Coturnix japonica: one gene and its partners. The protein of the gene in region 3 purifies or fractionates together with the protein of the main gene of each other region. This does not show direct contact. Links are inferred from orthologs where the notes say so. Each region holds a gene or a part of one and is shown on either strand. Other genes may lie near its edges. The genes, in order: FAM120A, HNRNPA2B1, FBXW11, KIF20A, RBX1, HNRNPA3 and EEF2K.

Evidence for each region.
Region 1: the proteins of FBXW11 (region 3) and FAM120A purify together in Homo sapiens (affinity purification with mass spectrometry; 3 studies listed by BioGRID and IntAct, with this or other methods). This does not show direct contact. The link is inferred for Coturnix japonica from reciprocal best matches to the Homo sapiens genes FBXW11 and FAM120A.
Region 2: the proteins of FBXW11 (region 3) and HNRNPA2B1 purify together in Homo sapiens (affinity purification with mass spectrometry; 3 studies listed by BioGRID and IntAct, with this or other methods). This does not show direct contact. The link is inferred for Coturnix japonica from reciprocal best matches to the Homo sapiens genes FBXW11 and HNRNPA2B1.
Region 4: the proteins of FBXW11 (region 3) and KIF20A purify together in Homo sapiens (affinity purification with mass spectrometry; 3 studies listed by BioGRID and IntAct, with this or other methods). This does not show direct contact. The link is inferred for Coturnix japonica from reciprocal best matches to the Homo sapiens genes FBXW11 and KIF20A.
Region 5: the proteins of FBXW11 (region 3) and RBX1 purify together in Homo sapiens (affinity purification with western blotting; 4 studies listed by BioGRID, with this or other methods). This does not show direct contact. The link is inferred for Coturnix japonica from reciprocal best matches to the Homo sapiens genes FBXW11 and RBX1.
Region 6: the proteins of FBXW11 (region 3) and HNRNPA3 purify together in Homo sapiens (affinity purification with mass spectrometry; 3 studies listed by BioGRID and IntAct, with this or other methods). This does not show direct contact. The link is inferred for Coturnix japonica from reciprocal best matches to the Homo sapiens genes FBXW11 and HNRNPA3.
Region 7: the proteins of FBXW11 (region 3) and EEF2K purify together in Homo sapiens (affinity purification with mass spectrometry; 7 studies listed by BioGRID and IntAct, with this or other methods). This does not show direct contact. The link is inferred for Coturnix japonica from reciprocal best matches to the Homo sapiens genes FBXW11 and EEF2K.

Annotation. Positions count from the first base shown.
Region 1 is NC_029527.1:4,466,889-4,470,388, reverse strand, and holds part of FAM120A (constitutive coactivator of PPAR-gamma-like protein 1), read left to right. Parts: intron 1-1,058; coding exon 1,059-1,283; intron 1,284-3,500. UniProt on the Homo sapiens protein: Component of the oxidative stress-induced survival signaling. May regulate the activation of SRC family protein kinases. May act as a scaffolding protein enabling SRC family protein kinases to phosphorylate and activate PI3-kinase.
Region 2 is NC_029517.1:29,451,844-29,456,058, forward strand, and holds the start of HNRNPA2B1 (heterogeneous nuclear ribonucleoproteins A2/B1), read right to left. Parts: upstream 2,801-4,215; 5' UTR 2,638-2,800; coding exon 2,608-2,637; intron 2,402-2,607; exon of another isoform or gene 2,181-2,401; intron 1,918-2,180; exon of another isoform or gene 1,541-1,917; coding exon of another isoform or gene 1,529-1,540; intron 42-1,528; coding exon 1-41. UniProt on the Homo sapiens protein: Heterogeneous nuclear ribonucleoprotein (hnRNP) that associates with nascent pre-mRNAs, packaging them into hnRNP particles.
Region 3 is NC_029528.1:13,892,016-13,895,515, reverse strand, and holds part of FBXW11 (F-box/WD repeat-containing protein 11), read left to right. Parts: intron 1-213; coding exon 214-332; intron 333-766; coding exon 767-1,016; intron 1,017-2,166; coding exon 2,167-2,285; intron 2,286-2,840; coding exon 2,841-2,951; intron 2,952-3,267; coding exon 3,268-3,346; intron 3,347-3,500.
Region 4 is NC_029528.1:11,874,609-11,877,460, reverse strand, and holds part of KIF20A (kinesin-like protein KIF20A), read left to right. Parts: intron 1-227; coding exon 228-428; intron 429-643; coding exon 644-755; intron 756-869; coding exon 870-941; intron 942-1,066; coding exon 1,067-1,210; intron 1,211-1,296; coding exon 1,297-1,462; intron 1,463-1,703; coding exon 1,704-1,862; intron 1,863-2,539; coding exon 2,540-2,679; intron 2,680-2,776; coding exon 2,777-2,852. UniProt on the Homo sapiens protein: Mitotic kinesin required for chromosome passenger complex (CPC)-mediated cytokinesis. Following phosphorylation by PLK1, involved in recruitment of PLK1 to the central spindle. Interacts with guanosine triphosphate (GTP)-bound forms of RAB6A and RAB6B.
Region 5 is NC_029516.1:45,482,598-45,486,643, forward strand, and holds the start of RBX1 (E3 ubiquitin-protein ligase RBX1), read right to left. Parts: upstream 2,801-4,046; 5' UTR 2,786-2,800; coding exon 2,657-2,785; intron 1,856-2,656; coding exon 1,777-1,855; intron 1-1,776. UniProt on the Homo sapiens protein: E3 ubiquitin ligase component of multiple cullin-RING-based E3 ubiquitin-protein ligase (CRLs) complexes which mediate the ubiquitination and subsequent proteasomal degradation of target proteins, including proteins involved in cell cycle progression, signal transduction, transcription and transcription-coupled nucleotide excision repair.
Region 6 is NC_029522.1:14,084,638-14,088,137, reverse strand, and holds part of HNRNPA3 (heterogeneous nuclear ribonucleoprotein A3), read left to right. Parts: intron 1-639; coding exon 640-765; intron 766-861; coding exon 862-914; 3' UTR 915-933; intron 934-1,019; exon of another isoform or gene 1,020-3,412; intron 3,413-3,500. UniProt on the Homo sapiens protein: Plays a role in cytoplasmic trafficking of RNA. Binds to the cis-acting response element, A2RE. May be involved in pre-mRNA splicing.
Region 7 is NC_029529.1:8,304,339-8,308,318, forward strand, and holds the start of EEF2K (eukaryotic elongation factor 2 kinase), read left to right. Parts: upstream 1-1,180; 5' UTR 1,181-1,345; coding exon 1,346-1,355; intron 1,356-1,542; exon of another isoform or gene 1,543-1,671; intron 1,672-3,980. Other genes in the region: putative short-chain dehydrogenase/reductase family 42E member 2, read left to right, coding at 1-33. UniProt on the Homo sapiens protein: Threonine kinase that regulates protein synthesis by controlling the rate of peptide chain elongation.

The DNA of each region.
Region 1 (3,500 bases), on a different chromosome or scaffold from region 3:
ATAACTCCATGGGACTAGCTACAATGTATTGCTATTTAATTAAGTGAAGGTGGGATGATTAAACCATTATTAAAGACTTAACATTATCTGATTTATTTATTTTCTTCCAGATACAAAATCATTGTCAAATGAAAAGCGTGATGATCTGTTTCATGACTTTGAGCTGTTCTTAGAATGTTGTGATCATTTGCATGCAGTACTTGTGCATTTTTGTGATGGAGCTGTGCTCCAGCCATTGCTTTTGTTTCAAAAACAATTAAATAAATCAAAGCAAAGAAGAAAACAATCCTAAATAACTTGTGCTGTGGAAGAACAAAGCATTTTCCCTGTACCTTTCGTATAGAAATTCCAGTAAATTTTGGCTTCGTGCTTAAAATATCAAGCTGATGATTTCATCCATCGGTGCTTATTATTTTTGCAGACTACGCCCCGCACGATAACTGTATCTGCCTGTGGATTAGTCACCATATGCAAATGCTAATGTGACCTATTGCATTCCTTTCTTGTCTGTGCCATGGCCATGCACAGAGCCCGGCACACCCAGGCTGCAGCCCTATGTGCACAGTGCTGCCCTGCAGAGCAGATATGGGGGCGGCTGGCAGGGCACTGCTCCCCCAGCTGGGTGATGGCCGGGTGGGACGTGCTGCAGGGCACAGCTGCCTGCCTCTTTGTACATGCAGAATTAGGGCTGTGTAAGCAGTGATTCAACTTTCCCGGAGATGTATGCATGCAGTCCGACTTGAGTGCAACCAATTTAATTTGTTTTACTTACATGCTTTTCTTGAATATCAAACCACTTCTTCAGCCCTCAGTAGCAGAAGGCAGTTCCATCTCTTGAGTACACACTACAATGCATTCTGTACCACAAGCTTTAACCATTTATTCTATATACTATCACTTTCCTAAATTGAAAGTCTGGTCTACCAACTCCAAAATATAGTCTTATAGTAACGTCCTCTTTTATTGTGTGCTTAAATGTACTCTTAAAATACTATTTCCCCATTGGCTGATCTTCTGTATGCATTAAAAAGCGCTTGATGTTGTGTGTTCTGTTATAGGCAGAAGGTTCCTCTAGTGCTTCTTCAGGAAGTCAGGCAGCCGATGTCAAAGGGAATCAAACCAGTAATCCACAGATCCCATGCCTGTTGTCAATGCCCACCAGAAACCACATGGATATTACTACCCCTCCATTACCTCCAGTAGCACCTGAAGTATTAAGAGTGGCAGAACACAGGCACAAGAAGGGGTTAATGTATCCCTACATCTTTCATGTCCTAACCAAGGTATGACATTTTAAAACTATGTGCTATAAAATAACCTTTTGGTAAAGATAATTGCACTTATGTATCTGGCTAAATAATTTTGTACTTTTACATCCTGTTTTAAGTTTTGAGTTTTGGTCTGATTTTAGTGTTTCTAGCACTTTTTTCACTTGATTTTTAACCACTGATCTGGGCTGACATATTGTTGCTGTAGGTATGAGGTGACTGTTACTACTGTTTATTTTAAAAAGACAAACAAACCAACTTCTTTTGACTTTAGTATTTTATTTTGATACTTTTACATACCCATGTTTGTGCGTGTGTGTATGTATTAATTGCCCATTTCTAGAGTGTGACATGTGCTTTGGTGTTTCAGTATTAAACAGTAATTAGATTGTTTTCCCTCATAATATAATCCTTCCTGTCCTTAGTAGCCAACCCCAATAAAGACACAGCATCTGTGATAAATCCCTTTTGTTGAATCATAAAATGCAATTGTAGAACTTGATGATGCTATGAGTTCTTTGGTCACTGATTTATTTTATGTACAATTCTTGAGATCCCAGGTAAGCTGCAAGCACTTCCACACAGCTTAGGCCGCTTTCTCTGCAGTATGTTGGGTTTGGGGGGGGTGGGAAGAAGAAAAAAGTCTTAAATCCGTGGCCACATAGGAACATCTTGAAAAGCAATGGGACAGCTTCTTGCCAAAGTAAGTAGTGGAAGGAATCACAGCAGTGGAGCAGCTGTGTTCTGCACAGCCCTGTGTTTGACTTACTTGAGTTCCAAAAGAGATGAGTTCTCCTCATTGTTCCTTCTGAGTGCAAACAGAAGAGTCCCAGAAGAAAACAATGAATCCTCTTCCACTGTAGTGTTCGAAGCATTTAGTACCGGTTCCTGTACGTCTGGCCCATTCACTGTACATACTTGTACAGCAGAAGGGCACTGTCCACACTGCTGGTCATTTGCATTAGTCTTAAAAAATCCATTTCAGGCCAATAAGGACAGTAGACTGGAATTTGAAATGCACAGAAGGAAAGGTTTGGGTTTCCTTCTATTGCTGTCATGTTCTTGTACTTCCCATGTTTATCAAAGAAAAGTGCAACAAGGGAACTGTGAAGACCATTGCAGCTCTGTTTCAGAGTTTGTATAGCCGTAAACTCTTAGTACATTTAAATACTGCTGGACGTTTCCTGTCTCAAAATGAGAAGAAACTAATTAAACACCTGAATGTTGGGAATTTTCTCCTAGCAGAAAAAAGAAATGAATCTAGAGACTGTCACAATATAAATCAAATGAATCAGTACTGCTTTTTGGTTTTATTCATCTACTACCTGAAATGTTTTTTAATATTTCACTGGCGGACCTCAAGTGTGCCAGAAAAAATGTTGACAGGTTCCTCCTTGAACGGTTTTGAGATGCTTTAGAAATTGGCACACAAAGATGTTCTGTGTTATGCTGTTGTTAAACATATAGAGAAACTTTTCACACATCCTTTATAGCTAACTTAGTGTTGTCTGTATACAAGATAAACTCTTTTTTGTAGTAATTCAACCATATATCTAATAGTGCAGATAAAATAGAGATCTTTATGTAACCTAAAGTGATACAAAAAGGTCGAAGCATGCTAGTAACTTCTGTGTAAATATACACCTACAGCTGTTTACAGCTTCCACCAGTTTATGCATTTTATCTGGCTTATGTTGATTATAAAGGCTTTTGAGCATACAGAGTGCTGTAGTGCTTCCCTGTATCTCATCCCTTTACTGGAGAGTTTATTTGGGAATATCATCAATGTAAGAACAACACTAAAGGAAGCCACATTGATGGTGAAAAGGATGAGGTTTGTTCTTAAGAGAAGTTTCTTGTTGAGGTCACTGATGCCAGAAAAAAAGAGAATGTTGAGTAAGCTTTTAAAGGTATTGATTCTTGACACCTTTACCAATAGGAATGAGTAGTTTTCCAAGAAAAACTGAGCATAGTTGGATGCACATATACTGAAAATACAGAACATTGCTGCTATTTTAAGAGAGCTGGAAGGTCTTTTCATGTTTTGTTTCTGAAAAAGAAAGCATAAAATGCTTTACCCGCATCTAAAGCAACATTACTTACACAATCCCCAGTTGCAGTTGTTTGGCCAGGCCTTCTCTTAATGTTATTTTTCACACTGAATCCCCCCCCAGTACTGTTTCAGATCCTTGCACCAAACCTTCCAACTGGTGTTTTTAGGCAGCGTGAATA
Region 2 (4,215 bases), on a different chromosome or scaffold from region 3:
AGACCTCCAATGAACAGCTTTCTCAACTGCTCCTTTTCCCTCTATCACAGAGAAGAGTAGGTTAATATAAAACTTTTTATGACTGCATTTGAAAAAGAACAGAGCTCCAAACAAAGCATCCTCACACCAAGGAACAAGAATCCATTCATACTATCTGATTCTATAACAGATATCATTTATTGTGAAGTACATGGGGATATACCCTGGAATATCTGTCAAAATTATCTCGGATCCAGCAGCACAAGGATTAGTAGTAAATGCATCATTGTACAGATGGGAAAAAATACAAACCCTTATTCTATAAAGCTTCACTTCATAGAATCTTTTGAACAGAATAGGGGAAAGGATGTTGCATTCAAGACTTGAATAAAGCTCCATGTTGGAAGCCAGGCTATCCATAATAACTGCATTTGCTTTTAAAGAGCAAACATGTACCAGACGTCGCAGATAAACAGAACAGCTTCAAGTTCACACATCACTCATCAACCATATACTGCCAGACCTGTATGTGCCCTGGCCAAAGCAAAAGTTAGGCATACGCACAGGCCAGGATATGGCAATATGTCCCTATCACTACACGAATGAAGAACACCATACAATATCCTAAATGCTGCCCCACGGGCTCCAAAAGCAGGCACTGCCTTACACGCGTTAGTTGCACGTCTCTAACCACAACCCCGGCCAGGGCCCAGCTACCTGTGTTAACTGCATTACACTGCAGTTACAACGTGCACCATCATAAACTACTTTAACTACAGTCCTTATTGATATTTGACGAAAACGCAATCCTGGCTCTCAATACAGAAACCAGAAGAAAAAGCAACGCAGCCCATCTTAGCAGCTCCCCAGGATCTTCAACCAGGAGCCAGGCGGGAAGCCCAGCACGGCGCTGCTCCTCCTTCAGCCCGCCCCGCCGCCCATGGACAGAGCGGGGAGGCTCCGCCATGTGGCGGCTCTCAGCAGAGCAGCCCCGCAGCCAGGGAGCAAAATGGCGCCCGGAGCCGCCGCCTGCAGGGCGGGAAAGCGATCCCCGCCGAGCGCCCAGCAGCGCCGGGCGAGCCCTGAGCGCAGCGCAGGATCCAGCTGCCGCTCCGCCACACGCACGGATCGGTTTGCAGCCTCCCTCCCTCCCCCGCTCCCGCTCCTCCCTCCCCCGCCGCTCTCGGCGCCGCCATTTTCCCCCTCCCCCTCCTGCCGCCATTACCGGCAACGGCGCGCCCCGGGCCGCGCTCCCACCGCTCTCCATCGTTGTGCCTAGAGAACAACCCAACTCAGAGCCACCTAGAGAGACACAACCCGCCCCTGCTTGAACAGCAGCACCCGCCGCCCCTCAACAACCCAGCACCGAGCACCGCTTCCAGAACCTTCCTCCCCCGCCGCTGCCCTCCCTCCCTCCCTCCCCCGCGCACAGCGGCCCAACAGCCGCAGCAGCTCTGGTAACCCTCAGCTCCACAAAAACACAACCTACGAGAACACAGAGAGCACTACACCCTTATAAACCGAGCTCCGCAGCGCTCCCCGCACGTACCATGTTCTTCATGGTGGCAGCCCCTGCCCGGCGCAGCGCTCGGCCCTCAGCAATGGCTGCCGCAGCTCTTACGTAATTTGAAATTCAGCTCCGCGCACTACGAGCGCCCTCCTCCTCCTCCTCCTCCTCCTGCTCTACCCGGCCGCACCTCCGGGCTTTAATTAAAAAAATAGCTCGGATTTTAGAGCCTAAATCGGTCCCGAGGGGCTGCGGCTCCGTGCGATACCCCTCTGTTTTTGGCACCTAATAAAAACTCATCGACGCCGTTACTAATGGCCGTCTCCGAAATGAGCCGAACGACTCGTCCTCGCCCGAGCTTATCCGCTTCGCCAGCCGCCGGAAACAGCCGAAAGAGGAACGCCAGCCCGTTCGGCTCGCTTCGGCGATTTCCGGAATCAGCCGACACCGACGAAACAGGCGATCGGCTCAAGTTCGGCAATTTCCGGAAAAAAAAGACGCAGAGCTCACCGACTCCCCCAACCCACTCGGCAATTTCCGACAGCGGAAGGGCTCTCTCATAGGTGCCCGAACAGATCCGAAAAGGCCCGAGCAGACCCGAAGCGGCCCGAGCGTCGCTGGCACAGCGCTCCTTCTTTTTTTTTCCCTCTCTCCGGAAATTGCCGATCGCTGCAGCCCGTAGTGCGGGGTTATAATTAGCCGCAGCGGCCCCGCACCCCACCACCCTCGGCGGGCGGGAGCGCGGTACAACACAACGCAGCTGCTCCCCCTCCACCCTCGGCCCAGGCGGGAGGCAGCGCTGACCTGGAGCTGTGCCCGGCGGACAGCGCTGGGCCCGGCCTCGTTCCGCCGGCAGCCACGCAGCGCTCGCCTCCCTCCCGCCCTCCCCTTTCCTCTCACACGCGGCGAGAAAGGGTGAGTGCTGCCGAGTGCTGCTGGGTGCTGCCGCCCTGCAGCAGCGACACGGCACCGGGGCTCCCGCTTTCTGTCCCCCTGCAGCCCCGCTCTGCTCTCCATTAACCGCCAATAAAGGCCTTTCCCCGGGCCCTCTCCCTCCTTCCCTCCCTGGCGGTGGCGGCCATGATGGCGGCTGCCTCCCGCGTCCCGCCGGCCTCCCTCACCCAGTCGCTTTCTCTGTCTCCGCGAGGCATCTTCCTCCTTTTGGACGCCTGGCGCGGTCCTGCGCTCGCCCCCCGTGGGACAGACGTCTTGGCCCCCTCCTGTGCTGGCGGCGACGACGGGAGGAGGTTGCGGCTGGCGCGTAGGCGGCGTCGTTCGCTCTGCCCCGTCAGCCGCCGGCGCGCTCAGCTCGGCCCAACCCGCCCCGCACCGCCCGTCCCGCCCCGCGCCGCTCCCCGCCCCCTCCCCTCCCCCCTCAGCCCCTCGGATGCCGCCGCTGCCGCCGCCGCTCAGAGCGCGCAGGGCGAGAGCCGGGAGGAGACGGGGGAGCGGCGCGGCCGAGCGGCACTGAAGTCTGTATCCTTCTTTTTCCCCTTCTTTCCTCGTCTCGGCGGCACTCCCCGCTCCCACGTTTACTCCCCGCCGACATCCGCGGGGATGGAGCGCGGGGTGCGGCCGATTTTCCCCCCCCCCCCCCACCACCACCAACCCCTATAGCGCGGCGGCCGCGGGAGGAGTGGGCATGGCGGGAGGGCCCCGCGGGAAGGAAGGAAGGAAGGGAGGAGGAAGGGAGGAGGGAGGGCGGGTGGGCGGCGGGGCCGGGCCGGGCAGACAAAGCCGCCCGCCAGCGCCCGGAGCGGCCTCCGCGGCGGGGAAACGTGGCGGGGCGGGGGGTGGCGGGCATGGCGAGGCGATGCCCCCCCTTCCTCCTCCTTCCCTCCCTCCTTTCCTCCTTCCCTCCCGGCGGCCCGCGGGGCTCCGTTCCTTATGGGTTGGGGGTGGGGGGTATCGGGATCGTTCTTGTGGTTTCTTTCCCCTTTCTCTTTCCGATGGGGACGCGAGGAGCTCTCCCGCTCGGCCCTTTCCGCCGCGCTCCCCCCACCCCCCCCCCTAGCGGGGGGCTGAGCCCTCGGGCCCTGCAGGGCCGTGTGCTGTGCCGTGCTCGGGCCTGTGTGCGATCCGAAGTTTTGTAGTTGGAACGGGGCAGGGATGATAACGTGCTTAAAGAGGTGGTCGGTGTGAGAGGTGTGGTGGTGAAGGGGATGGATGGTGTTGGACTCGCTTGCTTAGGTTAAACGTAGCGTGTGCAGCTTAGCCGAGCTCACGTCGGTGCAGGGCCTTTAATTCGTTCAAACTTGAGAATCGGAGGGCAGCGTTGTGTATTAAAAGAAATATTCGCAGTTTGGAAAGCGGTGGGTGCTCTGTTACACTCCAGACGTGGAGCTGCTCCCCGCCGGATCCACAGTTAACACGTCTAAAGCTATATTTGAGTTAACTGCTGGAATCTGAGCTCCTGTTCTGTTGGGTTGAAGGAAATAAGCATCCCTGATGGTCCTCCCCCTTTTCCCTACAAACGTCTCCGTGCCTTAGAAGGCCTTGGAAAAACCTTTTTTCCCCCCCATCTACCACTTCGTTACTATATATCCCGACTAGGTAAAGGTGTGTTACTGGGTTATGCCGGACAAAGCAGTAAGCTGCTTCTTGTCCTGGATTTAATCCATCCTGTAAATGTTCTATGCCGTGAATACATGGGGGTTGGAACAAGGACCATGTTGTATTGGGATGCCTTTCTTTGAGTAACGTCAACTTCCTTTTAATTGTCATGCATT
Region 3 (3,500 bases):
CTTGGTTGTTTTGCTGTAATGCCAAAAGCTTCCATCAAGGAGACTCCCCAAGTTAGAAGAGAGGACAAAAGTTGCTGTCTGGACATGCAGCCAAGGGTTCTTGCTGCTGTGTCCAGGTTTCTTCATTTCCTCTAAGTAGCAGCAGTATTCAAGTTTTTTGAACCCGTGTTCTTGGCAAGATGTTTATAGATTTTATTTTTATTTTTTTGACAGATTTGGGACAAAACAAGCTTGGAGTGTTTGAAAGTATTAACAGGACATACTGGCTCAGTTCTTTGTCTGCAGTATGATGAAAGGGTCATTGTAACTGGATCTTCAGATTCTACAGTGAGGTGAGTGTTAAGTTTTGGGGCAAAAAAAAAAACCTAAAAAAAAGTGAAATTGGGGTTGGGAATATTTGTAATAATCTTCAAATATCAGAAAACATCCCTCGTGTGAGTGTGATACCACTATTCCAAAAATAAGGTGTTTGCACGTGGGAAAGCATCATGTTCAGTCATTTTTTCCCCAGTCTGTCTCATGCTTTGTGGTGTTAAGCATTGTGAAGGAATGTGACCCGTATCATTCAAAGCACAACATGAAGTAGAATGGCTGATGCATCAAATACATGGTGAATACCTCATTTAGGTTTCTTACATCACCTTCTGACATACTTTAGTTATGACCTATAATGAAAGGAGGTTTTGTATGTGGAGCAACAAACACAAGACTTCAAATATGCATAATGTAGTTCCTTCATTTGGGATAAAATTCTTTTCTTTTGCAGGGTTTGGGATGTAAATACAGGTGAAGTTCTGAACACGTTGATTCACCACAATGAAGCAGTGCTTCATTTGAGGTTCAGTAATGGCTTAATGGTGACATGCTCAAAGGACAGATCCATTGCTGTCTGGGATATGGCATCACCTACTGACATCACCCTGCGCCGTGTCTTGGTTGGCCATCGTGCTGCTGTTAACGTGGTAGACTTCGATGACAAGTATATTGTGTCAGCATCAGGTGACAGGACCATTAAAGTAAGTTGGCTGAACTCTCCTGTGGGTCTGAATGCCTACTAAGCCAGAAAAGCTTCTGAAAGTTACAATTCAAATTGGAGTAGCCAAGGTTTTTGTAAACAGTTCTGTGCCTTTCTCCTTAGCATTCAGCTGGCTGCTTCCTCCTACTAGTTGTTAATGTCTTCTTGCTCATAACAAGTCTTGTAACGTTTTTGTTGTAACTGTTGTACAGCTCCAAAAAAGTAAAGCCTACTCTAATCTCAAGTTGGATTTGTTTGTTAAATGTGGCACATTTTGTGCCTTTTTCCAAACGTCAGTTTTTTTATTTCAATTGGCAGTCCTGTTCCAGACATGAAATTTATCAGCAGTTGCTTTTCCATTCCACACCTTCCCAGCTAAACCAGACTTTGCTGTGTTTAAAGAATTAAAATGCTGTATTTTGAAAAATTTACATACCAGAAAATTTGAGTTACCCAAAGTGTATCAATATAACAAAAGCGTTTCCACCCTTCCTTCTCTACCACCAGAGCTACCCTGGAATGTGCCAAAAAGCTCTTGGCAGTTCCATGTCTGAATATCTGCCAAGAAACCCACTGCACTTCTTTTGGAAAAGGAGCTACTTTACATGAGCCCTTTATGTTACAACTTCAATAACAGTTCATTAAAAAATGAACAAATTTCATCAAAAACATTAAAAGAAGAAGCAGCCACAGGCTTTAATAGGCCGTGGCTTTGGTCTTCTCTTAGAAGCAGATTGCTAGCAGTTAATTTGGTAAAAAAATACAGCTTATTTTTGCATATGAGGTAACATCCTCTCTTTTAAAGGATTACTAACTTACCAAGATTTAAGTGTCATCAGCCTTTCAAGGTCGTTTGGACCAGTATCACCTGCTACTTGAAAATATTTTACGTATGCCCTCTACTTCCAACCTCCCAGTCTTTCTCATTGACACTATGTACAATAGCAGAGCTGATGTCTCTTGTCATTGCTAGGCTCTGTAATGCCATCCTCCACTTACACCACGTGCCTCCTCTTTACCTGCAAAAACACTATGGAAGATTTCATTCTGCTGTCCAGCAGAAGTCAGCCTCAGGCTTCTGCTTATGAGTTTGTAACAGCTTCTGTTGGAAGTCAGAAACCTTTATTGAGCATGATTCTCATGTTTCGTAGGTCTGGAGTACAAGTACGTGCGAGTTTGTTCGTACGCTAAATGGGCACAAGCGTGGCATCGCATGCCTGCAGTACAGGGATCGACTGGTTGTCAGTGGATCTTCTGACAATACCATTAGGTGGGTGCCAGCAGGCTGTCAGTATGTATCTATGTACATTTACACATGATAACTCATGCAAACCATTTTCAGTATATCTTGCCATTGAAGCAGATGCTGTTCAACTAGTTAATATGTCACATCCATGTGAAAAAGTGAGACTGTGAGGTTCAGATGGAGGGAAACAAAACCCTCTATTCCTGTAGTTTATGACCTTGTTTTCTACTTGAGAGATGGAGACATTGGTCACTGGTTTTCATGCTTTCTGAACCTTTAGTAATTACTGATTTATGCAGGACAGAAAAGTATGTTAAGGTTTCTTAAAATAATCTAGCAAGTGTACAACCTTTACTTAATGTAATTTTGAATGTCTAGATTAGTTTTTATGTACTGCAGCTGCAATGCAGTTTTCTCTGAATTGCATACAAGGAAAATCTAGTTCTACCAGCTGCTCTTTTTTGCAAATTGTGGTATTTTCTGCAGGAACCCATTCAGTAGTATGCTGAAATCACTGTGTGTAAGGTAAAGGGATAGCCTTGAACCTGAAATGCTCAGGCTTTCTTCTGTTCTTTTAAGGTTATGGGACATTGAATGTGGTGCCTGTTTAAGGGTATTAGAAGGCCATGAAGAACTGGTCCGATGCATCAGGTTCGACAATAAGAGGATTGTTAGTGGAGCCTATGATGGGTATGTTTCTAAGAGCTATTTCAAAAGGTTCCAAACTGACTTGTGTATACAAATGTAGTTAGTTGGTCTTGAGTATAAACAACCCACTTGGGCCATCACAAAGACATCACTGTATTTGCTGCTTAAAAGAAATACAAAACTGCCCGTGTTTTATGGGATTCAGCTTTAGTAAATTAGTGAAGATAAATTATAACATTTTGCTCGATGCTGATAAATCAGCTGGAGGGAAGATCTGGAATATTCTGTCCATTGCTTTTAGAAGTTTCTGTGCTTACACTTGAAACAATGCTTTTAACCTTCTTATCTTTCTTTATAGCAAAATTAAAGTTTGGGACTTGCAAGCTGCTCTTGACCCCCGTGCCCCAGCAAGTACATTATGCTTGCGTACGTTAGTGGTATGTATAATTAATTAATTAATTTGAGGATTTGAGCAGTGTGTCCTAGGTGAAGCCATGATGTGTACAAAAACTGGGTTAGCAGCAGTGTTGAATGTGAAATGTTATGTAAGATGGAACCCCTGGTGTGGACCGTTATTGCCAGCCAGTCTTT
Region 4 (2,852 bases), about 2.0 Mb from region 3:
CTTCTTGAGATCAAGTATATAGGCAGTCCTTGCATGTAAAGATGCTGTCACAGGGAATTTAATACTGTATAATTGGACAAAGGTAGTTGCGTATGTCCAAATAGCAGGAGGTATTTAGAATAGCTTTGAGTCTGGGGTGGTGTTACTACATTTCAGTCTATTCCTGAACTACTCGGGTCTGACCTTTGAAAGACTGCAGCCATGATTTATTTTCTTTTCTTCCCCAGAATCGGGCCCTCGCTGGGCTGACCTGGATCGTATTTCACTCAGCACCACGGCAGATGTGCAGTTCTCCATCTGGGTCTCTTTCTTTGAGATTTACAATGAGTTAATCTATGACTTGTTAGAACCAGCCCTCCCTGGTCAGAACCGCAAGAGGCAGACACTGCGGCTCTGTGAAGACCAGACTGGCAACCCCTACGTGAAAGGTATTTACCTGAAAGATGTTTATAGTGGGCCTCTAGGTGGATCTCACCTGAGGGAGACTTAAGGATGGAGTGGGTGGCTTAGCAGTGATATGCTGGGGAGCACAATGTCCTCTGGCCCTTCAGATGCCTGGATAAAGAGGATGTGAAGCTTATTAATGTTAGGGAAACGCTACGATCTCCTAACTGCCATGCCCAATGCATGCCTGCTTTTCCAGATCTGAACTGGATCAATGTCCGTGATGCTGATGAAGCCTGGAGGCTCCTGAAACTGGGTCGGAAGAACCAGAGTTTTGCCAGCACCCACATGAATCAGAACTCCAGTCGCAGGTCTGGAGTGGGAGGGGACATTTCTTAGATATAAAGTTCTGAGAATCTTTTCAATATTACGTCTCTTTTTTTTTTTTTCTCCCCTTTTTAAATGCCTGTGTGCTTCTTTTACAGTCACAGTATCTTCTCCATTCGGATTCTACATTTGCAAGGAGGTGGCAGTGAGATTGTTCCCAAAATCAGCGAGTGAGTTTCATGCTTTCTAGGATTTGTGGGTATTCTGTGGACTTTTTTAAACTGTTGCTGTGGATCTGGGAAGTATCTTAAGGAAGGTCTTGTGGGTCAGGTGATAGCATCTCTGTTTTTTTCAGGCTATCTCTGTGTGACCTTGCGGGATCAGAGCGCTGCAAAGACCAGATAAGTGGGGACCGAATGAAGGAAGCAAACAACATCAATACTTCACTCCATACTTTGGGTCGCTGCATCACTGCCCTCCGTCAGAAACAGCAATCCAAGTGAGTATCTGGAACTTCAGAGGGGGGAAGTTGTAGGGAAGGCTGTCTTGCTTTTCCCATGGGCTCACTGTCGTCTCTTCCCATAGGGTGAAGCAGATTGTGGTTCCTTTCCGGGACAGCAAGCTAACCCGTGTGTTCCAGGGTTTTTTTACTGGACGTGGGCGATCTTGTATGATTGTCAACATTAATCAATGTGCATCTACATATGATGAAACTCTGTATGTAGCCAAGTTCTCAGCCATTGCCAGTCAGGTATGTAACACTTAGTAATGTTGTGATGTGCTCAGGGTGCTTCTTCCTATGGGAATGGGTCCCTTTCCCTCAGAATGCACGCACTCCTTCCCTGTGTTTTTGCAGTGTATTGTTAACTCCACAGTAATTCCAAACTCTGCTAAACTGAAAAGTTTGACAGCATGCTGTGAAGTGCCATGTTTAAAGGCTAAGTAGCCCTCCAGCCTTTGTGGACCAGTAATTATAGCCTTTTCCCTTTCAGCTTGTTCAGGCCCCTCCCATGAAGCTGGGACTTCCATCCATACAGTCAATTATCAAGGAGCACAGCAGGCGAACCAGCCAGGGTACAGAGGCTACAGAGATGGAAGAAGTGAAAACGGACAGTGAAGATGAAGCAGATGTCTCTGTTTATGAGAGAGAGGTGGGTTGTGATTTATTTTACAACTTTTACTGATAGAAAATCAAGAATATGTCTAACCGTTAACCTGGAAGGTGGGGCCTGGAACTCAGTGCAACGATGACAGAAAGCCTCAAAGATGTGATCTTAGAACACTGTAAAGTAGGGATCTTTGGAAGATATTCCATCCATAGCTGCTCAAAATCTGAAGCTTAAGAGTGCTTAAGAGCACTTGTCCATTTGTGGACCAAGGACAGTAAGAGCTCAGGTGCAGACCCATAATCTCTCCTCTATAAGGGAAATCTTGATTGGAGAATTACTAAATCAGTTGGCTAAACTGAGGAAAAATAATCAGATTTTCTGGATACTCCGAGTGGGAAGCTGGAATAGCTGGAAGATAAGAGGGGGGTGGAAGAAATACTGAGATTTGAGTTGTAACATATCAGGGTATTAAAGGCATGTGCAGCCTTGAGCAGTGCAGTATAGCAAGCTGCTTATGGTGATAGCTCCAGTTGGAGTGGTTTTTAAACCACCTCATGGGAAGGGAACTGGGAAGAAGCCTACCAGCTTATTTTTCCAAGTGACTAAAACCATCCTAAACCTAGATTACCCCAGTCTTACAGATCCAGGATCAGCTAGTTTGTTTTCTTTAGGTCGTAATTGTGCTGTGCAATGTGGGCAAGGGAGATTCTGTCTTCCAGGACTTGTTGCATGTAGTGGAAGCTGCGCGAGAACTGCTGGTGCAGGAGAGGCAGGAGAAGCTACAACTAGAAATACGTCTCCGTACAGAGATCTGCAATGAGATGCAGGAGAGAATGCAGCAGAAGGAGCAATGGTGGAGGTACAGCTGAGGCTGATTTAAAACCTGTGTTTAGGGTGTGCTATGGTATCAAAGGCTACCAGATCCAGATGCAGATAGTTGTTTGCTTTCCTTGTAGCCAACACATTGATGAACAGAAGGAAATGCTGGAGGAACTGTATGAGGATAAACTGAATAACCTGAAGGAGTCACTG
Region 5 (4,046 bases), on a different chromosome or scaffold from region 3:
TTGCACAAAGAAAATCTAAATACATTCTGGGCCCTTTCAGAAATGAACAAAAACCACTGAAAATCTACTCATCCCTTCTATGTGCCGAACATGAGCCATAGTGAGGGCCAGGGGAATCCTTTGTCCTTAGTATTAGCAGCCAAGTCGTAATGTATGTGCATTAGCAAGACTGCACGAAACCTTAACATTGTTATATCCTAACTTTTGGATGCTCGACTTCATAATGTTAACAATCTTCCATTAGCGTGGCTGGTGTTACTTATCACCATTGTAATGTTTTCCCTTTTAAGGTTTCTCCTCATCAGTGGGAGAGGGAGACATTCCTGCCCTGCACTTTATCAAACTGAATCTTGTGTTGTTCTTCCCTGCACAATCTAGTAATTTTTTCTCTATTTCCCATCACTTCACATCTTCGGTTTGAAAATCTAATTAAGATGTTGCTTAACATCATTAATGATCGTTAACAAGGAAGTAAGTAAATCCAGAGCCAAGGCTGAACTCAGAACACCAATTTAGATACCGCTTCTACTCTGTATACTGTCAATTTTGGTCCATCATTTGCAGTTTGGGCTTTTGATAGCATTGATTATGCCCTAACTAATAAGGTGTTATGCTTGAGCAACTCAAAAAGCAAAACAAAACAAAAACTAAGTTACCTGTGCTCTCTTCCTTTGAAGTTCTTCCTAACACGTCTATATTCTTTCAATTCCACCCAACCTCAATTCTTAACTGTAAAGCACTATGTCAGAGGTCCTCAGCACATGTCACAACCACTCCTCTCACCTGCTTGCCTTTAGTGCTACCATTCCTCTTCTAATGATCAAGAATAAAGTGAGCGATGGACAGGCAGCAGCTGGCTCAAAATAGAACACATCTGACTCAAAGCAAAGAAGTCAGCTTGCTTAATCCCCTTTCAGCCCTGCATGGTACACTGCACAGCCTCTTTTTCTTTTCCCCTGCTCTTTTATATTATCACATTGGCTCACTAACAGTAAGTTACCATCAGCTGTACTTGCAAGGGCTACTAAGAAGAAAGTGAAACAAAGCGACCACAAAGAAATCATGACTAGCCCTTGTCAGGTACTGAAGGTCTTGCTTTTTGAGGTACCACAATCCTCCCATTTTAGTAGTACAGGTGACTTCCTATCTGGGGGATGTTAAAAGGTGTTCTGTATCTTATCATTGAAAGAACATGGACAGTTACGGTGCCAACCATATATTGCCAAAGATTTGAGGGGAAAAAAAAATGGCTCTGTTCTTATTGCCAATCCTCAATTAGACCAAAGCCGGTGACTTTATATATGGATACCTATTTCACAGTAGAATTTTTTATACTTACTCCTACTACCACTTTGTTTTCCTAAATAGTAAGTGTATTTGTTAACAGGACTGTTGGGACCATACAGGGGGGAAAAAAAAGGTGAATTAGTACTAGCAATGCTTGGTGTTGGTTTAGGCATTAGATTATTCTCTTCATAGATAACAAACGGATTCTCTAGCTGGCCACAGAATTCCCCACACTATAACCCTAATTTAGGCAAAGTAGCTTTGGCAGAATGAGGAGTCAAAAATTCAGTGGCCTGAATCTTTTCTGGTCAGTCAGACACAGAAAGCAGAACTTGAGCACTACATAGAACAGAGTTTATAGTGTTACCGAAAGACTTCATTCTGAACTGAAAACCAGATTTGCTGAAATGCACCCTGAGCAGTGGAAATTTCAACTGTGAATCTTGTACATGTCAAAACTGTAAGCACGCTTCCCCATCATTTACTTACATAGATCCATAATATGGTTTCTGCAGATGGCACAGTTATCAACCACAATGTCCCACGCCCACAGAGCTACTGCATTCCACTAGAGTGAGGGGGGAAAAAAGAGAAACATAAATTTTATTCAACATATAACACATGGAAATCCTCATTATTCCTCAAGATCCTCTTTCTTTCTGAAATGATAAGGTTAGGATATTAAAAGACACACACCTTACAGCACCAGAGTAATTCTTTCTCAGATACCTCTCACACTCAGTGCCTCCTTCCAGTCTCAGAAACAATTGATACTAGTCCCACTCTCTTTTTTTTGCCATACAAATGCAAACATCTGCATTTCAATTCATAATCTGGAGGCAAGAATGCATCTCACGCCACATCCTCAGTTTGGAACTTCTCTTGTTTGTAGCTGTTTTCCCAGTAATCATCCCTCAGAGCAGCTGGGGCCAACAACCAGAATCACCTCTAACTTTGCCCCTCAGCGACTCCTGAATCATTTTCATTGCAAAAAATATACAATATCAAAAGTGCTCCCACAAAGTGCTCCTAACCACCTCCGGGCCTCGTTGAAGTGAACTTGGGATCTTTCACCACCATTCAGCTCGCAGCCACACTGGAGAGGGTAGGTCAAAGAGGGATATTATGGTTGTTAGGCCAAAGAGGGATATTATGGTTGTTTGGGGGAAGCAAAGCAAACCGGGATGACAAGACAGCATTTGTTGGTCACCTACGAGTTGATTTGTGAAGAATACAAAAAGAAGCAGCCACACAAATGCGTGCAAAGCTCCCTTCACATCACGTAGGGCCACTAAGACAACTGAGCCAAAGCAGCCGGGACTGAGGAGGCAACAGCAGCGCACCGACTCGCCCCTAAGCCCGGCATTACCCTCGGCTCTGGGCGGCGGGGCCCAGCCAGAACTAGCCCCGCCTCGCCTCTCTCCCTCCTCCTCCCCGCGTGGTCGCGCCCTCTGATTGGCCAACCTCCGTTCCACGCGCGGAGACCCGTCTCACCCATTGGCCCCGACACACGCCAATAGACTCCGCAAGCACCGCCCCCCCCTCCCCTCATACGGCGGTGCCGGTGCGGAAGCAACGCCCGGCTCCGTGAGGGGGCGCGGAAAGCGGCTCAGCGCCCCGACCCGCTCGCGGCCACCTGGCCGCTCCCGACCTCCCTCCTCCCGCTGGGACCGGCCGGGTAGAGCGCGCCACGCCAGCAGGTCTCACTTTCTTCACTTCGAAGCGCTTCTTGCCGGCGCCGCTGTTGGTGCCGCTGGGGGTGTCCACATCCATCGCAGCCGCCATTTTGGATGCGTGAATAGGCCGTTCCGCTCTGTGCGCATGCGCGGCGGAAGGGGCCGCAGGGAGGTGTGAGCGGAAGGTGTAGGCGGGGCTTCCGCCAGGGCCTGCCCTTACCCCCCCCCCCCCCCCCCCACACACACCCCTCCGTCCCCGGCAGAGCCTTTTTAAGGGAGGAGGTTGCCTTGCTCTTCAGCCCTTGCTCCCTTCCCAGCCCCTCAGGTGGGCTGAGCTGAGCTGCATATCCTTTGTACCATATCAGCCTCAGTGCTACCCCAGTGGTGTGGGATGTCTCTGGGGCGCTCAGGATGCACTCAGGAATGAAAATGTTCTGAAAGAAAGCAGGAATTCATGTGCTCCGAAACACTTTTTAGAGCAATACTTTATTGTACAGAGGTTATAAAAATGAAGTGCATTTTATAACTCCTTAAAGAACTGTAGGGCTGGCTGGCTGCCCTCCATTGCTGATGCCACTAAAAGTAATTGATTTGGCTAAGTTTGCCTTTGCTGTTGTGAGTGTCCAGACAGACAGCATCACAAATGGTACCTCATTTACCGTCTTTCCACATTGCCACAAAACTTCTCAGAGTTCATGAATATCATGGAACTTCAATACTCTGTAGCATCCCCAGCTGATCTGGAGTGCTCAGAGAAAATTTGAATTCTAAGAACAGAGCCAGAGGGGTAGATTAAGCAATATATCCCATAGTTTTTTGGCCCAGATCATGGTTGGTTTCTGCATGAACCCAATCCCTCTGCCTCTGTGTGTTTTCTAGATGATGGTCACATTATATTCCCATGTAGTGCCATTGTTTTTTCAATCTGTTACTAAAACCTCAGGTGAGAAATGAAGCCTCCCGCTCCCCATAATCTGACTAAGATGAACAGATGAGATTCAGAGAGAGGAACGAGTTGCAGCATTTCATGGGATGGTGACTAATTGCTGCTCTTTCTTTCTCATGGTATTGCACCTCAAGCTG
Region 6 (3,500 bases), on a different chromosome or scaffold from region 3:
CCTTTTGAAATAACCAGGAACCACATTACTACATGGCTGTTTTACAGCATTAGCAAGGGTAAACCCTTGATGGCGTGGAAGGCATTAAATGAAAGTCTAGATGTGTCCTGTTATCAGTTCAGCCGTATTCTTACTCTGTGTTGCCAGCATTGATATCTTTGCAGGAGCTTTGAAATGATATGATTAATTTCTGAATCTATGATCACTTCAGTAGAGGCCTTTAATGATGTGTTTCTTGTCAGGATGTACCACAAACACTAAAACATGCTAGGTTCTTTAGTAGAATTTTGGGGGGAAGAAGCAGTAAGAACATGCAAGGACCCAGTGTGAGTTTAGGAGGTTAAGCAGCAAAATCTACTGCACGCTTACCAATACCTTCTGGTGTATCTATGTGCTCATTACAGTTTTATCACTTGTTACAGCAAATAAAAATTGCTTTTGGCTTGTAGTTTATGTCACGTACAGAGCACTGAATAGTGGAAGAATGATGGTGAAAGCAGAGTTTTTTTTGAGTTGGGAGGCATTAACTTTGGCCTTCCATGTTAATTTCAAATTGCTACTTTACAAGTAGCTTTACTTTACTTTTTGCTAGTTTACACCGAATGTCTCAGTTTCACGAACTTTGTGAATTTATTTCAGGTAATTACGGTGGCAGTGGAAACTACAATGACTTTGGTAACTACAGTGGACAGCAGCAGTCCAATTATGGTCCCATGAAGGGTGGTGGCAGCTTTGGTGGTAGAAGTTCAGGCAGTCCCTACGGTGGTAAATATATTTCTGTACCAAAAAAAAACCCCTTTGTTTACATTTCCTTGGTATCACTTATGTTTCAATATGCGCTGGGTTTTGTTTTTTGTGCAGGTGGTTATGGATCTGGAAGTGGAAGTGGGGGCTATGGTGGTAGAAGATTCTAAAAATGCTACCAGAAAAAGGGTAAGTGTAATGAATATTTATAATGATGATGAATAATGTACAACTGTTCACTGAGAGTAATAATTTTCTTATCCTGTATTCAACAGGCTACAGTTCTTAGCAGGAGAGAGAGCGAGGAGTTGTCAGGAAAGCTGCAGGTTACTTTGAGACAGTCGTCCCAAATGCATTAGAGGAACTGTAAAATCTGCCACAGAAGGAGCGATGATCCATAGTCAGAAAAGTTACTGCAGCTTAAACAGGAAACCCTTCTTGTTCAGGACTGTCATAGCCACAGTTTGCAAAAAGTGCAGCTATTGATTAATGCAATGTAGTGTCGATTAGATGTACATTCCTGAGGTCTTTATCTGTTGTAGCTTTGTCTTTCTTTTTTCTTTTTATTTTCCCATTACATCAGGTATATTGCCCTGTAAATTGTGGTAGTGGTACCAGGAATAAACAAATTAAGGAATTTTTAACTTTTCAATATTTGTGTAGTTCAGTTCTTCCACATTTGGTACAGAGAACTCTATAACAGAAATAAAATGTAGTTTAGGGTGTTTCCTTGTTAGTAGAGAAGATTAATGCATTTCTCAATTACTATTTTGTATTAATTTAAAGTTAACAATAGAAACACCTATTGATTTGCAGTCTTAAGGGGTCTAGTCTCAGTGTATATATGTAACTGTCATTGATAAGAGTTACATAGGCATACAGAGGGAGAACATCTGTATGTTGCATTATAGTTTGTTTAGATGTATAACTAGGATTGAGTTACTCAAATTAGTGTTTGTGAATTATAGAACTAAGCTTTACCTTCAAATGAAAATTTCAAATTACTTTTTGGTTTGTGCATATTTTTTTAATTTGTAGTTCTGTATTAGTAGTAGCGCTTCAAGAAAATAAGGCATGATAAATATTTTAACAAGACCAACTTTAGTCACATTCAAGCTGTGTCCAGTCTCATCTGAGATGTATAAGGGATAACTGCAGTTGCTGAAGTTCTGGGTGAAGAGAAAAAGAAACTTGCTTTTTACCTTTTTATTTATTGTAATTCCCGAGAAGTTAAGGTGGGGTGGGAATCAAGTGCCTGTTTCCTTGGGATATACAATGATTCTGTTTCAATAAAACTATACTTTGGGGAGGGTGGCTTGGAATTTTCATCCCCTTCCTTTCTCCCCTTTCCCCTCTCCCTCACACCAGACTGTGCTGTTTCGATTAAATGAGGCATCATAGTGAGAGTAATAGGTATGTTCCTAAATAACTTAATGGCTATATACTTTCTTGCATGCACCCTAGGCAATTTTCTGGACACATTCATCTGACTGGGAGCCAAGGGTAGCACAGGTGTAATCACTGACAGTCCCAGGTAATGGCGTTCCAAAAGCCCATTCACGATGGGCTCTAAGTAGCATAGAGCTTTTTCCCTTACGAATATCTAAGCTCAGGTAAGAGCTTGAGGATGAAACAAAACACAATCTAGTTATATTTTACCTGACCACAGGAGGTAGAATGATAGTATTTTACAGTTTGATTTGATGCACTGGAGTAGCAAATCTTATCAGCACATCTGGCTAGAAATTGTACTCAATTCTCATTTCTGAACTCCAAATTAAGGCACTACAATCTCTGCTTTTCTCAGCTGATGTCACTTCTCTCTCAACTATTGCCAGGACAGTGCTTTCTGACAATTGAGACTCAGAAGAGTAGGGACACAGTCAATAGAAGAAATGTTCAGACACTTGACAATATGTGATATTGGAAATTACACCTGTTTCACTTCTGGGTCAATGTGCAGTATAAGGTAAATGCGATTCCAGTGTAGGAATGAATCTGCAAAGATGTATGAAATGGCTCAAGGCATAATCAGTCATATTAATAATATAATTTTAAGAAGTTATTAGCAAAATGAGTGTGTTGCTTGGAAAAAAAAAATAATTAAACAATGTTATTTGAACACTGTTATTGAGTGTATTTAGACTGCAGTACACTAAAACAAGGAATCACTGTCAAAGATGTTAGCCTCCAAACTGGATATCAAAGTCTGCTTATTCTTTTCTGTGGAGTTTTAAACTATCTCTAACTTAAAAGCAAGAATTGCTGATGCAGTGAACATTTTGTTGTTGTACGTAATTTGGGCTTGTGGGGAGGGTGGGTGGGGGAAGGTTGTATTTCAATAAAGGCATTTTTTTAACCAACCCACTTGGAGTTTGAAAACACATTAACAACTAAAACATCTCACTAGGGAGTGAGCCACCCAACTGCTGACTTGCTTTGTACGTTGCTACACCTAGAAGTCGTGTAGATTTGTAACTGGGGCCTGCATCTGGTTGCAGGGACAACTGGAGAATGGGGTTGATGTCCCTTCTGAAAATGGATATGGTATTTCTAAAAGTTTTAGAATGTATTGACAGTGTTCTTTTTAACAGGGCCTCTTGTAGCTGTACTGTGACAACAATGTTAACTTTGAAAAATAGTGTCATAATAAACTTTATGAACAAGATCTGTATGCAACCTTTTAAGAGATGAAGTGTGTAAGTGACCGCTTTGTAGGTGGGTGGGGTAGCTTAGCTGTTGTTTGTGATGTGGAA
Region 7 (3,980 bases), on a different chromosome or scaffold from region 3:
GTTTTGCACTTTTTTAAGGAGACACAGCACTGACTCGCACAGACTGTGTGCACCCTCTGCACAACTGCTCCACGGAACATCCCCAGCTCCGCAACGCTGAGAGGCTCCAGTGCAACACATTTAGTTTAAATTAAATACAGAATAAACGTAAACAGCACCAACACTGTAAGTAATTACAGCCAAAGTCCGTCACCGAGACACGTTTCAGTCACACATCTTTCCAAACTGACCGCCGAACTGACCGAGGAGCTGCAAAGGGAGCACAGGGCACAGCCCGCAGTGTTATCGATGGACGAAAGCGGGGCAGGGAGTCAGGGCAGCAGCTCGGGGCTGCGGGGAGCTGAGGGACAGCGGGGGAAGCACGAGGACCGACCGCTCACGGCTGTGAATCACACCTGGGGGCTGCACAGAGCTCAGGTGGTGTGAATTTCCTTTGTGAACTGCTCGTGTCGCTGCGTATGAAGGAAAATAAAAGGGAACGTGTAGCTCCGTGCGGTGCCTCCCGACCGCCATCCCTGCCCCGGGGCGCGGGGGGGGAGCAGCCGGGAGAGCAGCGGGAGTGGGCGGGAGGGAGGCGGGGCGGAGCGGGGGCCGCAGCCGGCGGGGCGGGCGGACGCGTGTGTGTCCCCGGCTGCGTCCCGCGGTTACAGGGCGGCGGTGCGGGGCGCGGTGCCGGGCGGTGCCATCAGCTGGGGGAGCCGGGAGCTGCCGGCCGCGAAAAGGAGCCGCTGCCGCGGCGGGACAAAACTTGTTGGCAGCGGTGGGATTCGAACCCACGCCCCCGAAGAGACTGGAGCCTAAATCCAGCGCCTTAGACCACTCGGCCACGCTACCGCCTGGTGGTTGTGCGGCCCGCGAGGCCCCTTTCAGCGGGCGGAGCCGCTCTGCTGCCCGCGGATCGCGGCTCTTCCCGCCGTTCCGTGCTCGGACGCGGCACCGTGTGTCCGCTCCGCTCCTGCCGTTGGGCAGCGCTGCAGGCTGGGTGTCCCCGCCCTCCGTCGCAGCGGGTCGGTGCTGCCGAACGCTCCGCCTCGTCCCGGCCCCGCGCACCGTGAGGTGGCGCCCGCTGCCCGGCGGCTGCACGCGGCGCTGGGCCCGGCCCGAGCTGGGACACGGCAGCTGTTGGGACGCAATGCTGCGCCTCAGTGCGGGGGGAACCGAGCGGAGATGGGTGTTGTGTGGGCCGGAACCTCACCGTAATCTTAATACATGTTTTTATTAACCCAGCATCTACTGACATTAATTCCCATCTAACACATACAAGGAAAAGGAGTTGGTTCAATGTTTTCACAGCTGCTGCCTCGAGGAAGAAGCTGAGCTGCGGCCGTGCTTCACGAATGGAGCAATGAGCGGCTGTGAGTGTTTGCATTGGAACCCGGTGCACGTTGTCGTGTTTCTTACGGGGAACCGAGCGCAGCGCGGATCGTTCGTTCCCTGCGGGCCGGGCAGCGCCGCCGCCTCCAGCCTGAGATCGGGGCGCGCTGTGTCACACACACACCAACAACCCGCGGGCAGCTCCTCCCTGTACAACCCTCAGGGCGCCACGGGGCGGCTCGGTCAGCGCGGGGGGCGGGATCCAACGCAGCCCTGCCCCGCTCTGCCCGGCCCTGCCCCGCTCCACAGGCGGCTCCGGGCGCGGCCGGGTCGGTCCGTTGAGGCTCCGCGGTCCCGGTAAGTGCTTCGTGTGGCGGGGCCGTCAGGGCGGGAGCTGTGGGGAGCGGCGGCCATTCGGAACGGCGGCCATTCCGCCGGGAATCCCTGAACGCGGCGCGGTTGTTTCCTCGGGGTTGTTCAGCCCAGAACGTGGAGCCCAATGAAACAGCAGCGGTTCGTGGCAGCGGAAGGGCGTTCGTGAGTCCCATGGCGAGCAACTGCTCTGCCCGTCCCCGCGGGCTCCTTGGCTGGCGCTGCCTCCTTGGGGCGCTCAGATCGACCGGCTGAACCCGTTTGTCATCGGTGGGAAGGAGGGAATGGCTGCGGGCTGCTGGGCGCTTGCCCGATGCAGCCCGTGCCGTGCTGCCCAATGCAGCCCGTGCTGTGCTGCCCGATGCAGCCTGTGCTGTGCTGCCCGATGCAGCCTGTGCTGTGCTGCCCGATGCAGCCCGTGCCGTGCTGCCCAATGCAGCCCGTGCTGTGCTCGCCGCGATGCAGCCTGTGCTGTTGCTGCCCGATGCAGCCTTGTCTGCTTGCCCATGCAGCCTGTGCTGTCTGCCGATGCAGCCTGTGCTGGTGCTGCCCGATGCGCCCGTGCTGTGCTGGCCCGATTGCCAGCCCGTGCTGTGCTGCCCGATGCAGCCTGTGCTGTGCTGCCCGATGCAGCCTGTGCTGTGCTGCCCGATGCCCTCCCGCTGTCTGCAGCCCTCAGGTCTTTGGGCTGAGTTACAGCACGTCCATGAGCTGCTGGGGTGTCACTCAGGGATTGTGCTGTACCAGCTGCTCCATCACAGCAGCTGCCCTGCAGAACTAAGCAGTGTTTTGGCAGCGCTCTGATGTGAATTTTCCCCTCTGGTTGTACACGTGCACTGTGTTTGATCACATCAAGTGTTGTCCTTGCTGCTCACCTCCCGGTGCTGGTGCTGTGACTCTTGGTTGTAATGGTGAGAGAAAGGAAAAAATAATTGAGACAAACGTTGGAAAAAGCCTGAAATTAGTAGGGATGTGATTGGATTTAATAACTGTTTGTATTTGACGTTTTCTTCTTTAATTATGTAGCACAAGGCTGATTTTTATAGGAAAAGTGGGTCGTTGTGCTCTTCTTTGCTGCTTATCCCGAGGAAAGCTCCTGCCGTGGACACCAGAGGCTGAACAACAGGAGCACAGCAGCAGTAACAGCTGCTGCGTGGTTTGGATTTGTGCTGTAATGCAGCAGTGCAGGGTGTAAGCCTTGGAATGGAGCTCAGGCTTTTTTGTAAGGCTTCTTTGCCCTGTGCTTGGAAGCAGCTGGCATTAGTCTGGCTGTTCATGTTGTCCTTAGTATCTCAACATAGCCCTGTGGATAAATGCCTGGTAGGATGAGTGGAATTGAGCAGGAGTGAAGGCACTTGTATTGAGGACACCTAGAGCCTGGGGTGAAGGGAAGCAGTGCAAAGCCTGGGCATCGTATGCCCTGGGAAGCAGATTTCCTGTACCAGCACGTGAGTGTGGCTGCCTGGCAGCGTGTGCTGCAGGTGATGGATGGAATTGAGCCCTTCCACACAAGGTTCTGTGCTGCAGAACTGCAGCTGCTGGGCACAGCGCTGTGCTGAGATGGCTGGGGTGGAACCTGAGCGCCAGGAAAAAACACCCTTATGATTCACCACACCTTCTTTGCATTACGTGCCTGTTGCACCAGTGGAGCTGTAGATCCCGAGTGCTCCCACTGAGCAATGGCAGTAATGTGGAAGGGCTGTGTGGGAAGGTGCTGCAGGGCGGCTCCTCTGGTTCTGTTGTGGAACTGCCTGTGGTCTCTAACGCTGCTTCATATGTCAGAAGGCCTTATCAAAATATACCAAGAATGTCACCTCCTGGACTTAGTGCTCTGCTGTTGTTGCATATATGATTCTATTTTTTTATCTTTTAAACTTTCATTTTGCTTAGTTCACTTTGGCCCCAGGGGTAACCAAACCTTCCCTGTTCTGTTCCCCTGCAGTCCAGGGAGTTACTAAAAAGCTGAGGTTTCTGAGCTGTCTCTTTTTGTTAAGCACAAGCTCCAGGACAGCATTTTTTCATTGAACCTCCATGTGATGGAAATAGCCCAGCTGTAATTCTAGCTGCTGCCTGACCTGCACGAGGCAGAGGATGAACTTTAGGACCATGGCGCTGGCTGCAGCCCTGTGCCCAGCTCCAATGGTGAAAGGCTCTATTCTCCCCACAGCGTTTTTGGAAGTGTGCTTCAACTCTTCTGCTTCACTGACTGCAGTTATCTGGATTGTTAAAATAATGCAAATCAAACCATCTTCTGCTCCACTGACTGCAGTTATCTGGGCTGTTAAAATAATGCA